Caenorhabditis elegans: one gene and its partner. The protein of the gene in region 1 interacts with the protein of each later gene in a pairwise test. Each region holds a gene or a part of one and is shown in the gene's direction. Other genes may lie near its edges.

What was found.
Region 2: the proteins of ver-3 (region 1) and arrd-1 interact in a two-hybrid assay, tested with the Caenorhabditis elegans proteins (one large-scale study listed by BioGRID).

Annotation. Positions count from the first base shown.
Region 1 is NC_003284.9:10,990,372-10,998,449, forward strand, and holds ver-3 (Tyrosine-protein kinase receptor ver-3), read left to right. Parts: upstream 1-2,105; 5' UTR 2,106-2,159; coding exon 2,160-2,252; intron 2,253-2,637; coding exon 2,638-2,716; intron 2,717-2,780; coding exon 2,781-3,445; intron 3,446-3,493; coding exon 3,494-3,942; intron 3,943-4,122; coding exon 4,123-4,468; intron 4,469-4,520; coding exon 4,521-4,801; intron 4,802-4,851; coding exon 4,852-5,340; intron 5,341-5,386; coding exon 5,387-5,643; intron 5,644-5,691; coding exon 5,692-5,818; intron 5,819-5,887; coding exon 5,888-6,176; intron 6,177-6,219; coding exon 6,220-6,329; intron 6,330-6,382; coding exon 6,383-6,610; intron 6,611-6,678; coding exon 6,679-6,784; intron 6,785-6,830; coding exon 6,831-6,995; 3' UTR 6,996-7,480; downstream 7,481-8,078. Other genes in the region: F59F3.6 (Potassium channel tetramerization-type BTB domain-containing protein), read right to left, coding at 7,704-7,787, 7,830-7,989, 8,034-8,078. UniProt on the Caenorhabditis elegans protein: Receptor tyrosine kinase which may be involved, downstream of pvf-1, in the positioning of ray 1, the most anterior ray sensillum in the male tail.
Region 2 is NC_003280.10:625,510-629,316, forward strand, and holds arrd-1 (Arrestin C-terminal-like domain-containing protein), read left to right. Parts: upstream 1-1,995; 5' UTR 1,996-2,004; coding exon 2,005-2,208; intron 2,209-2,255; coding exon 2,256-2,513; intron 2,514-2,587; coding exon 2,588-3,001; 3' UTR 3,002-3,149; downstream 3,150-3,807.

The DNA of each region.
Region 1 (8,078 bases):
TACAAACTCGTAGTAAACTTTCACCGGAAAACCTATCTTATCAACGAGATGTTAATGATTTTTATCAAGACTATTCAAACATTTCATTCAAACTAGCAAGACATTTAATAGGCACAGTTTCCCGGTAATAATTGATGACGCCATCACATCCATTTCGTCTCCGCAACATCGGTGTTTATCGGTTTCTGCGCGAAAATTGACACGAGCCTACATGGGTTAATTCGCGTCGAATGAACGGTATATATAGATGTTGTTGTTGTTCCGTGCGCCATATCCCTCTCATTGACCCTTATCCGTTTTCCTCTTCAATGGCCTTTTCGTTCCTCTCGGATGCATTGTTCTGCCAGGAACACTCTTCATTCACAGCCGCTCCATGTATTATCTACACCTAACTGCCTGCGTCTCTGTGGGTAGTGTCGTTCCCTCGTACAGTGCATTGCTCGGTCAGGTACCTTCTGCTGCCTCTCTCTCTCTCGTCTCGGTGTCATTGTGTTCCCGCACCCCGTCTGTCTCTAGCTGTAGAGAATGGTTTTTGTTTTCGTCGGATTAGTGTATTCAAATTGGTTCAAAGCAGCTAGACTGTAATTATTTATTTCGGGTATTCCTGATATAGTTATCGTTTTTTTTTTAAATTTCAAAAAGAAATGATGAGTCAGCATATGGAGCTTGGTTATTCATTTCTTTTGTAGAATACAGCGCAAATGAGCAATAACAGCTGGTTTCTGTTTAAACACTTTTCACTGACATGATATATGTTAGAACGTTTGAGATGTGCCAATTTTCAAACAAAAAACGAACAGATTATTCGTTTATCCTGTGACTCAACTAGTATTGAAACATTCAGGGTTTTAAGTAAAGTCTAAAAGAACGTTATTTGTCATGAGTAATAGAATTATGACACCATGAGTTATTCATATGCATCATTTTTATCATGAAGACATGCTGCGATTTCCAACTTATGTTCGTTTTATATAGTTCTAGTTTTATGAAAAAACAAACAACCAACATTTTTTTTAATATCGTTAATCGTTTCAATCTTAAGAAAAGTTCCTCTGATATATTGCTTCATGCTTTGGAACATTTTTTTCTTATTAAATCATAACGATCTTTATCTTATCATAACCGACGGAAAAAGGACAATGTAATGTATAACTTCTATTATCTCTCCGTTCCTTGCAAAATAGATAAGATATATCCAATTTATTCGTGTTGAACTAATTTATCTTCTTTCAAAATTCTTTCGTTTACTTTGATGTTACGGAATTCTAGTTCAACACACTTTCCGACGACCCATGCAATACTTTCAATTTGCATTCCCTCTTCGCACTACGTTTTATGTCTTCCGCCGTTCGGTATTGTGCCCTAACATTGTATATTTAATCAGGATTTAGGTGCCTGACCCTTTTTATTTACCTACTAACACATACTCATGTCGATCCCGAACGCAGGTGTTTGCTTGACATTACCAACTATATATTTGGCACCTTATCCGCTCGTCTCATTTCCCATTTCCTTCCTGCTTGTGACCTAATAATAACTGTCTAAGCAATTTAAAGGTCGGAGAGTTCATGAAGTCAGCTGTCAAATGTTGCGGAACACCACACATGCGTTCTTAATTATGCATGTACAGTCTGCTCCGTACCACCTGCCAGCCCAGAATGACCGTATTTTTACATATAATTTCAAAGCATGGTTCACCCGCATAGGAAGCCTACTTCTACTATATTTTGAGAATTTTCAGACTTGATAGTGCTCATGACTCATATGTAATATTCATTGTTAGAAAATTTGTCTTTTGATGGTTTCAATTTTTGTCTGTTTGCATGATGTTTTCCTGCTTTTCCTCCTTTCCTCTCATCTTTCTCCACTGTTTCTCCTTCACTCACTTTACCATTTTTCTGTCGTCTTCCCCGCTCATTCCTGCCTGTTTTCAAAGTGTTGGAATCAATATGCCCCGCACCTCGCCTCCCCGCGGGGGTTTTGCGATGCGTCATCCTACTTTTCCCTTTTCACCCAAAAATGCTTTCAATTTTATTATTGTTTTGCCTACGGACGCTACTAAATTCTTCTCGTCTATTTAGAAAATTAAAATCTATTCTAAATTAATTTACAGAACCGAACCGAATGAAACATCAGTGCACAAGAACAATTTTTCTGAGATGAAATTGAAGCTCACGGTACTTCTAATACTGGTTCATGCCAGTGCATCATACAAACCGCCCGCAATCGAAGTTGAGGATTATCAAGTTCAGGTTTGTATTTCTTAAACTTGAGAATCTATCTAAATCGAAATTAATTATTTATATAAATTTAAAAGACAATCGGAAAAAAACTTCGCTCTAAAATTGGATAATCTGACTCGTTTGTCTTTTATGTCGGAGCTGTTTGAGACACATTCTATTAAAAAATATAGTGAAATGAGCTTCGGTTCGTTATAAAAATAATAACGTATGGAATGTTTTTGTAAAATTTAGGAAATTGCCATTTCTAAACCAAGAGAGTGAAAATCCATTTCAAAGTTAATTTAAAGTAAAAAACAAATGATATTTGCCTTTAATTTGAAATTAAGGGCATAGAATACATAAGTACCTGAGTTTGTGTAGAAGCAGATATCTATCTTACAGTAAATTTGTTCAGGAACATGACAGCATAGGAAAGTTCGTGGAACTAGAGGAACATACCCGCCTTATCCTAAAGTGCTCTGCACATCATAATGGTGAGTGTTTTTTTTTCTTCAACATTTATGCACGTTTTTGTCGACAAAAAAAATTATGTTCCAGGCGATCTCAAATACAATTTCCCAAGTATGGAAGGGAACGTTGGTTATGACGAAAATAATTTCAAGAAACGTATGGAAGAATATTATGATGACGCATTTGGAGATAAAGTTCTCACTCTCAATGACGTTCGAGAATCGGATACTGGAACATATTCATGCTCTTCAATGGAACATTCGTCATTAAACGATACTATCTACGTGTTTGTTCATCGAAAAAAAGTTTTCCTGCCACTCAAGTCGGTGATGATCATATACAAGCAAGGAGAAGTTATGGTCCCTTGCAAAACAACGAAATTTGTGGATAAAAGTGACATCGAATTATACGCCAGTAATGTTCTTGTGAAAGAAGCTTCTAAATACAATTATGATCAACGATATGGATTTAAAATCACCAAAAAATTGTACAGCGAGAAGCAAATTGTAGATGTTAATTTTGAATGCAGATATAAAAAAGAAGAGAATCAAACAGCAACATATATCATCACTGAAAAAGAAGCAAGTTCGGATGACGGTTATCATTTTTCCTGGGAAAAGGGTTTTCAGTGGCCCCATGTTGGGTACAACTTCTCCCTCACGTGTAACCTCAACTACAACGGTTCGAAAATCTTTCACGGCTACACGAACAAACTTTCCATCGAATGTCCTCAATGTTCACATGATCCAGGGGTAAATCAACCTAGTTTAAAAGTAGCATTATTAATACTTTACTTACAGAGCCATGTACACGTTGATCGACACCGCATCATAGGAAATAAGATATCAACAACCGTCCGCATCCAACATTTAGAGTTGGAAGACTCTGGAAAATATACATGTATTTGGGAGCATGAAAACAAAGAAACAAAATACACCGACTATCATCTTTACGTTGCACCAAAGAAAGCTCAGATCAAGGTGATTGAAACAAGCCCTACAATTATGAGAATCAAGGAAAACCGTGCCACTTCTCTCACCGCGAAGTTTGCAATCTACCCATTTGAAAAAGAAAGCTACACTGCAAAATGGAGTCGAATTTATAACTCTTCAATTCATGAAGGACCACAAAGCGAGACGATTATCAATGACGACTTTCGAAAGATTGCTGCTACATCTTTTGGAGATGGGGCGTTTTCAGAAAATTTGGACATCAAAGCTTTTGCCGTCTCGACAAACATGAGTGGAACGTACGTTTTTTCAAGAGTTAAAAAAAATGATGGAGAATATAAGATTAAGATTTTATTATATGCATTTAGCAACAATTTAACTTCAATTTTTTCGACAGAGTTTTCATTGCCCTAATTTAAAAAAAATATAGAAAATAATTAAGTTCCGCTTAATTACCCCCACAATTAATACTCTTACAGGTACGTTCTCTCCATTTCACACATGGACACAGTGCAAGTCGTTCAATGGGAGGTTGCAATTGAGAATGATGAGCCAGATGTGCAAATTACCGTCCGTGAACCTTCGTCGTTCTTCATCTCCAACCAAGAGTACTATAAACCTGACACCAATCTCCACATTGAATGCATCTCAATTTCAATTCCTCCGGCAGATGTTGTCTTTGAGTATAAAACAAAAAATTCCGAACAATTTCAAGAAATTGAACCGAATAAGTTGGTCAGCGTAGGTGGCACATTTGACAGAGGTTTGATTTACAATGTGACGTTTACGGAAGGCATGGATCTGAAATGCTCGAGTATCAGAAAGGTAACGATCGTAATTTTAAACTGCGAAACACTACAAAATACAAATTTTTCAGGGAAATAGAGCAATTACAGTCAATAAGTTAATAAAAATTGGTGAAGGTTTTGAGGTCCGTCCTCACCACGAAAAAAGCAGCAAAGCCACTGAATCGGAACCTTCGAAAATTATATATGAAGGAGATAACGTCAAATTAACATGCGTGTTTCCTCTCGATTCAGATGATTGGAGTGTTTCGTGGCGTTTTGAAAATTCAAAATCATCAGACATTTCTTCAATACCGACGACAACAGAAACAGAGATAAAGCAGTATTCCAAGCACCTCATTCTCAATTTGAGGTAAGCATATTATTAGTTTTTATTTTAACCTGCTGAAATAAACATTTCAGGGATGTTACTACAAGCTTCACTGGCACATATACATGCGTGGTCAAGAATGAAGACTCCGAAAAACTACTGGAAACTTCAATCGACGTGAAAGCCATTTCAAAACCGTCCATTACAGGCGGAAATTCCAACGCTGTTGTGATAGTAGATTACGATCAATATTTTGAAATTAATTGCAATATGACTGGTACCCCGCCGCCCGTATACCAATGGTTTAAAGATGGAAATCCATATACTCATGGAGATGTTGATGGAAGTATACTTCGTGTTTCAAGAGCCAGAGGTGAAGATGATGGAGAATTTCATTGCCTGGCCACCAACCGTGCTGGAGACAAACTTAATTCCATTGAAGTTCAAGTAAACAATGCACCAAAAGGATCATTGTTTTTCTATTGGTTTTTAGCCTTGTTATTACTTATCTCCATCATAGCTGTTTTTCTTCTTACATGCAAACTGCGAGCATCAAACCGATTGACAAAGCAGAAAGATATGTAAGTGTTCAGTAACATTAAACATTTGAGCATACTCCAATTTCAGAGCTTTGAACACACTTTACGAAACGATGATCAAACATCAAGCAGGACCACTTCCAGAAGAAATGAAGGATCTTCCAGTTGAAGAACGAACATATTATCTTCCATATAACAATGATTATGAAATTGACCCTGTCAATCTTGAAATTTTAAATCCAATTGGCTCTGGTCACTTTGGTGTCGTAAAGAAAGGTCTTTTGGGAATGGCATACCCTAAAAGCAAAATTGAGTCGAAAACTCGCCTTCCTGTTGCTGTGAAAAGTTTGTTTACAAAACTTGTTGAATTTTTTCTCAAGTTATTAATTTTAGGCTCCACAAACCCATTCAACGTTGAGCTTCAGAAAATGATGGCAGAAGAACTGAAAGTTATGTGTGCCATTCCAAAGAATCCCAATGTTCTGGCTCTTATTGGCGCTGTAACTAAAAACATGAGACAGTAAGTTTTAATTTCAAAAATGAAAACAAATTTGATTGCAGTTTCTCAAACCATGTTTAATATTTGCAGGGGACAACTCTACATTGTAACGGAATTCATTGACGGTGGAAATTTGCGCGAATTCCTTCAAGCGCATAGAAATACATTCATTAACGAACTTGTTGAAGACGAGCATGTTCCAGTTGACGATAGTTATCTGGTCCCAAATAGTGTGAAGAAGAAAATATACAAATTTGACGAGAAGTTGGGAGAAGGAACAAGATTGCTAGTTGAAGATCCAGATGCACTTTGTACCTCGGATCTTTTATCTATTGGACTTCAAATTGCAAAAGGAATGGCTTGGCTTGCAGATGTTCCCGTAAGTAAAACTGTGCAAGAGCTCTGAAAATATTTAATTTTAGTGTGTTCATCGTGATTTGGCTTGCCGAAATGTTCTCATTACCAAAACGAAAATTGTTCGTATTGCTGATTTTGGTCTTTCGAAGAAACATACGAATAAAACCTACTATAGGTGAGATTTATCATTAACATAGATTCAAAATGAAATTTATTTTTGAATTTTAGGACGAAGAAGAGCAAGGATACTCCACTCCCAGTTCGATGGATGCCGTTAGAGTGTATTGAAGAATTTAAATTCACTCAAAAATCTGATGTCTGGTCTTTTGGAATTTGTCTCTATGAGATCTTCACATTAGGCGGGACTCCATATCCAAATTGTGATACTTTCAACGTTATTGAATTCATTCGAAATGGAAATCGAAACAAACAACCAGAATACTGCCATGACGAAATGTGAGTTTGGGGAATTTTTAAAACGAATACACGTTATTTTCAAATTAATTCTAAAAGCAATCGTTCAGTTATGAGCTAATGAAAGTGTGCTGGCAATTTAATCCAAAAGATCGTCCAACATTCAATGATTGTATCACGTTCTTTGAAAATCATATGCGAGATTCTTCTAGCCAGGTAACTTTTGTGTAAAACTTATGCAGTTCTTCAATTTTATTTTCAGTTTCTTGAACGCGTCGAAAACATGTTGCACACGGAAATGCAAGAACAGTCAAAACTTGATGATTGGATTCAAGATTCGCGTCCTGATGTCCCTAATGTGTCATTCCAAAAGTCTCCGAAAAAACAAAAGGAAGAAAGATATTTGATCGTAGAAAGTCATGCCTAGTTTCTTTGATTTTGGTTAAACCAACTGACTCTGGCATTTTCTAGAATATCAAACTTGTGACATATTTTTTCTTGTATTTATTTTCAAACATTCCAATACCAAAAAAACTACTGCCCTCCATCCCCACCCCTTTCATTGTTTCCTGCTTCTATTAGGAGAGAAAAATTAGCAAACTTTCTAGATCTAAATGATGAACACCTCTTTTTTATTGTGTCAACGTCGGCGACAAGAAACAGGGAAAATTTATCAATTAAATCAAAAATAACAGTTGTGATTGAAATTCAATTTCATTTTCCTAATTTTAGCTCACCTTTAAAGTAATCAACTTAATAATCAATTCAATTCCCATTCCCCTCCCTTCCCCCCATCAAAAATTTACGGTTCGTTCCAATAGTCAATCGCAAACTCACACACTCGGTTCAATTTTTCGTTTTTCTTTTCTTTTTTTAATGATTAGATAAATAAATCCTTGTTATATTTTTAATGTGAGCATGTAAGAACAAGAAATGATTACAAGCAGAAAATCATCCTGCAATGTTTTTCAGAAATTAAAGAATATCACTTCGGACAGTTTTGGACAATGTGCTTAATGTACAAAAACAAAGCAATTCAACAGTAGGTAATATTTATTTGATAATCTGAAAATTAATATCGCAAAAATAAAATGAAAAGCGTTGAAATGAAATTTCTAAAAAGATTAGGCCAATTTCACAGATTATCCCATTCGTCGTATGCAGAGTTTGGCTGATATTCTTCTTCATTTGTTGGCTTTTTTTTCAATGCAATTTGATTCTAAAGTATTCAATACAAAACAATTCACAAGGTTGAAAAAACCTGCTCTCGTTCAAATTGCCAACTTTCAAAATCGCGTAGGGTAACTTGGACGTACGAAGTGACATAGTGTTGCTCCTCTGTTCTTTGATACTTTTGAAGCAAGTCAAGAGCCAGCTCTTTGAGCTCTGCCAAATTCAAAGCTTCGCATTCACCGACCAACCTAGATAAATTCAGAATGAAGTGAAACAAGAAATGAAAATTTACTTTGCAAGATCATCCGGTTTACTGGGGAGAGCAAGTGATGGGACA
Region 2 (3,807 bases), on another chromosome or scaffold:
TTTCAAGATTTTCGGGGAAAAAGGTCTGGAAAAACTAAAATTTGAGATTTTTATTGTTCAAAATGGAGTACTCAAACAGGAAATCAAAATCTGAGGAATGCTTCCATACAAAATTTTTGCTCGGGCTCCGCCCACTTATTGGCTATAAGCCAAAGCGGTCGAGCTTCGTCTTAAAAATGTCCGATTTTTGGGGGAAAAATTGTGAAACCCTGGAATTTCAGAGGATGATATATTATAGAAAATTGAATTCTGAGCATTTTTTCATTCTAAATTTTTGCTCTGGCTCCGCCCACTTTTGAGCTATAACGATATGAAATTTATTCAATTTTTTGTTTTTTTTTGTAAAATTACTGAAAAAAAACCATGTCTTTGATAACCCAAATAAAATTATAAATATTATCAAGTAATATATTTTTCATTTTTTTACAAAATTGCTCAGTTTGCCAACCGCCCCCCTCCCCCAAAATCCGCAAAAATTTCTAATTAAGAACTGCAAAAAAGGGGAAGGAAAATTGTGTGTCACAATGTGTGTGTGTACAGGTCAGTGACTGGACGTGAGAGAAAGAATGGGATCACTGCAAAAATATGGGAGAGAGTGTGGGGACGGGAGAGACGCAGACAATAAAGACAGAGGGAGGAGGTCTTCTCTGTGTGAGTGGGGGGTTCCCGAGGGATAGAGAGAGAGACGCAGGGATACGGAGAAAAGTTAGGTGAACAGATGGGAAAATGTATTGAACATAAAAAAATTTACAACAAACATTTCAGCTCAACACTTTTGCTTTTTGTACCAATGTGCAACTGCTGAAATGAACAAAGTTAAGGCAGTTTTAATTTTTGAGTGAGTCGCTACTCAGCCAATTTTTATGGCTCCGTATCACACTACACCATTTATTACAAAATTTTATGTACTACAATTTACTTTTAAACCCATGTTTCTAGCTCATAGCTGAGCAAAGTATAGGTCAGTTTTGGTAATTGGCTGAGTAGCGTCTTGGTAACTGTATGGAGTTTCGTCAAAAGTCGTCGGATTTGGGTGAAAATTGAGGATCAAGCACAGCCTGATGATGGCTTTTGAATGCAAATAATTGTAAATTTTCAGTTTGTAAGTTACAGGGTCTGAAAGTTTCTGAGTTGCTTGCTACTCAGCGAATTTGTTGAAATAGTGATAACTTTGCTCAACGATGAGCTTGAAACTTATTTCAAAAAGGAAAGTTGGACTAAAAGTGATTTGGAATTGGCTGAGCAGCGACTACATGCTAGAAACATGGTCGAAGATGTATCACACCTTGCCAGTATTTACAAAACTTTTTTCTACAAGCTTGCTTCTAGAATTAAGCTTCTCGTGTTCAAGTTTAAAAAGTTATGTCAATATCCAGTTCACCGAGTCGCTACTCAGTGTAATGCCAATTGGTTGAGTAGCGACTTGAAATTGGAATAGCTTGGTTTCCATAGTTTCATTAGTTGATGAATTTTACAGTTTTTGAATTTTTCCGGAAATCAAACTAAACTACTACGTAAGTTTTTTCTAGTCTTAAGCAAGCTTAACAGCTGCTGTTACCTGTGATGCACTGTAATTTGCCGTTTAATACTGCTTTATCAGATAAACGCACCATCTGCCAGAGAATGGGAAAATGGTCAATTAGAGAAAGAGCGCTAATACAAGAGTCACTGAGATGGATTAGACAACACGATCTGAAAGAGCCGCAAGATGGGCGGGCGGAGGACAGGTGCATAAAATCGCAGCCCGTTCATTTGCTCCGTCATTTTTGTACACGTCCTTGCATTTCTTTCTCGTTTTTTTGGTCTTCTAACACGTTCCACATTTTACAAATTTGTCTTTAAAACCAAGGTTTTACCGTTAAACTCAACACATCTAAAGTAGTTACAAGTTTAATATATCGAGTCGCTACTCAGTGAAATGCCAATTGGCTGAGTAGCGACTCGTAGACTCATTGCATATTCTTTTTCTGTCGTTGTTCATCGATTTTTCATCACTTTTGCAGAATGAGCTCTACTGATCCGATCCTTGACATCTCCTTCGACAAACCAGTCTACTACCCAGGTGACAACATGAAGCTTACAGTTTCGGTTGATACCAAGAGACCACTGAATGCCAGATCTGTAATGTTTAGATGCAGAGGATTTAGAAACCGAACTGTATCATTCTTGAATAAATACGGGATTGCATGGATTTGCAAGGACGGAAAGGTACTGTTTTAGTTCTTTTTTTTTCAACATCTAACTCAATTTTTCAGAATGAGCTCCCAGTAGGCCGCCTTGAACAAAAATTTCAGTTCGAACTAGGAAAAGATTGTCCACCGACATACAAGGATGGGAAAATTATCTACAAAGTGCGTCTGGAGATTGACCAACCATGGTCGCGACCTTTGTTCATTGAAAAAGAATTCAAGATGGTTCACAAGCTGGCCGATCAGAAAATGAGTCAAGTTATGACTTATACAAGTAGTCCAAGATTTGATGCATTGTTTTCAAACGGACAGCCGACATTTAAGGTGAGCTAGTAGACGCAGAAACGAATCTTTGCCAATGTTCAGTACTTTTTTCTCACTAACTTTGTAATTTCCAGGTTACAATGCCCAAGTTCACCTTATATCCTGGCGAGACCACCGAATTCAAATTGGAAGTGGAGAATCATAGCTCATCAACTGTCAAAAAAATCTATGCCGAGCTCGAAGCAGAACCTTTTCCCCTTTATCACATATATGGCAACACAAAGGCTAAGGGGAAAATGCACGTTTTAGTAGCTCCATACTCAACTCAAAAGTTCACCATACCGTTTACAATCCCAACAGATTTGACAGCAAGCTTCCACACTTGCGGATCGTCCTTGAAGTACACCATGAAATTCGGATTGGTAACTGACTCCTGGCTCACGACAGACCCGGCGCTAGCTCTCGTAGTTTCTATTGGAGAGCTGGAAAGTGAGGAGAAAAAGGATGAAGCCTTGAAAACTCCACCACCACCACCATACACTGCGTGAACTTACATGAACTTTACGATTTTATAACTTTTCAATATATCTTCCCCAACTCTTACTCTTTCCGTTAAATTTTATTCAGATCTTCACCTTAAATTGTAATTTCTATAACCGTATTGCCGAACTATGAACAATAAACAATAAACAGAAAGATTACTAAATTTTGTTCCCCGACATATTACGGGTTCGGACTTTAGACATTTTCGGATCCGCGAAATGTCCTCCGCATTGAATAGGTAACTGTTGAACTCTAAGTGATTGGGCGTAAAAATAAATATTTGTGACTTTTTTGAACTTATACAATAACTCGGATAATTCGGGAGTGCCACGAGGTCAAAATTTTTTAAACAAATTTTTTATTAAAAAGGAAAAAATGTCCAGAAAAAACAAACAAAAATTTTTGCGGGAAATTCAAATTTTTCAGAAAAAATGTCAAGTTTCTAAATATTTTACTCTCTGGGTTCACCGAATCTATTTTTTCGTCTGTCAATCTAATTTTCATCTGTCAATCTATTTTTCGTCTGTCAATCTATTTTTTCGTCTGTCAATCTATTTTTTCGTCTGTCAATCTATTTTTTCGTCTGTCAATCTATTTTTTCGTCTGTCAATCTATTTTTTCGTCTGTCAATCTATTTTTTGTCTGTCAATCTATATTTTCGTCTGTCAATCTATTTTTCGTCTGTCAATCTATTTTTTCGTCTGTCAATCTATTTTTTCGTCTGTCAATCTATATTTTCGTCTGTCAATCTATTTTTTCGTCTGTCAATCTATTTTTTCGTCTGTCAATCTATTTTTTGTCTGTCAATCTA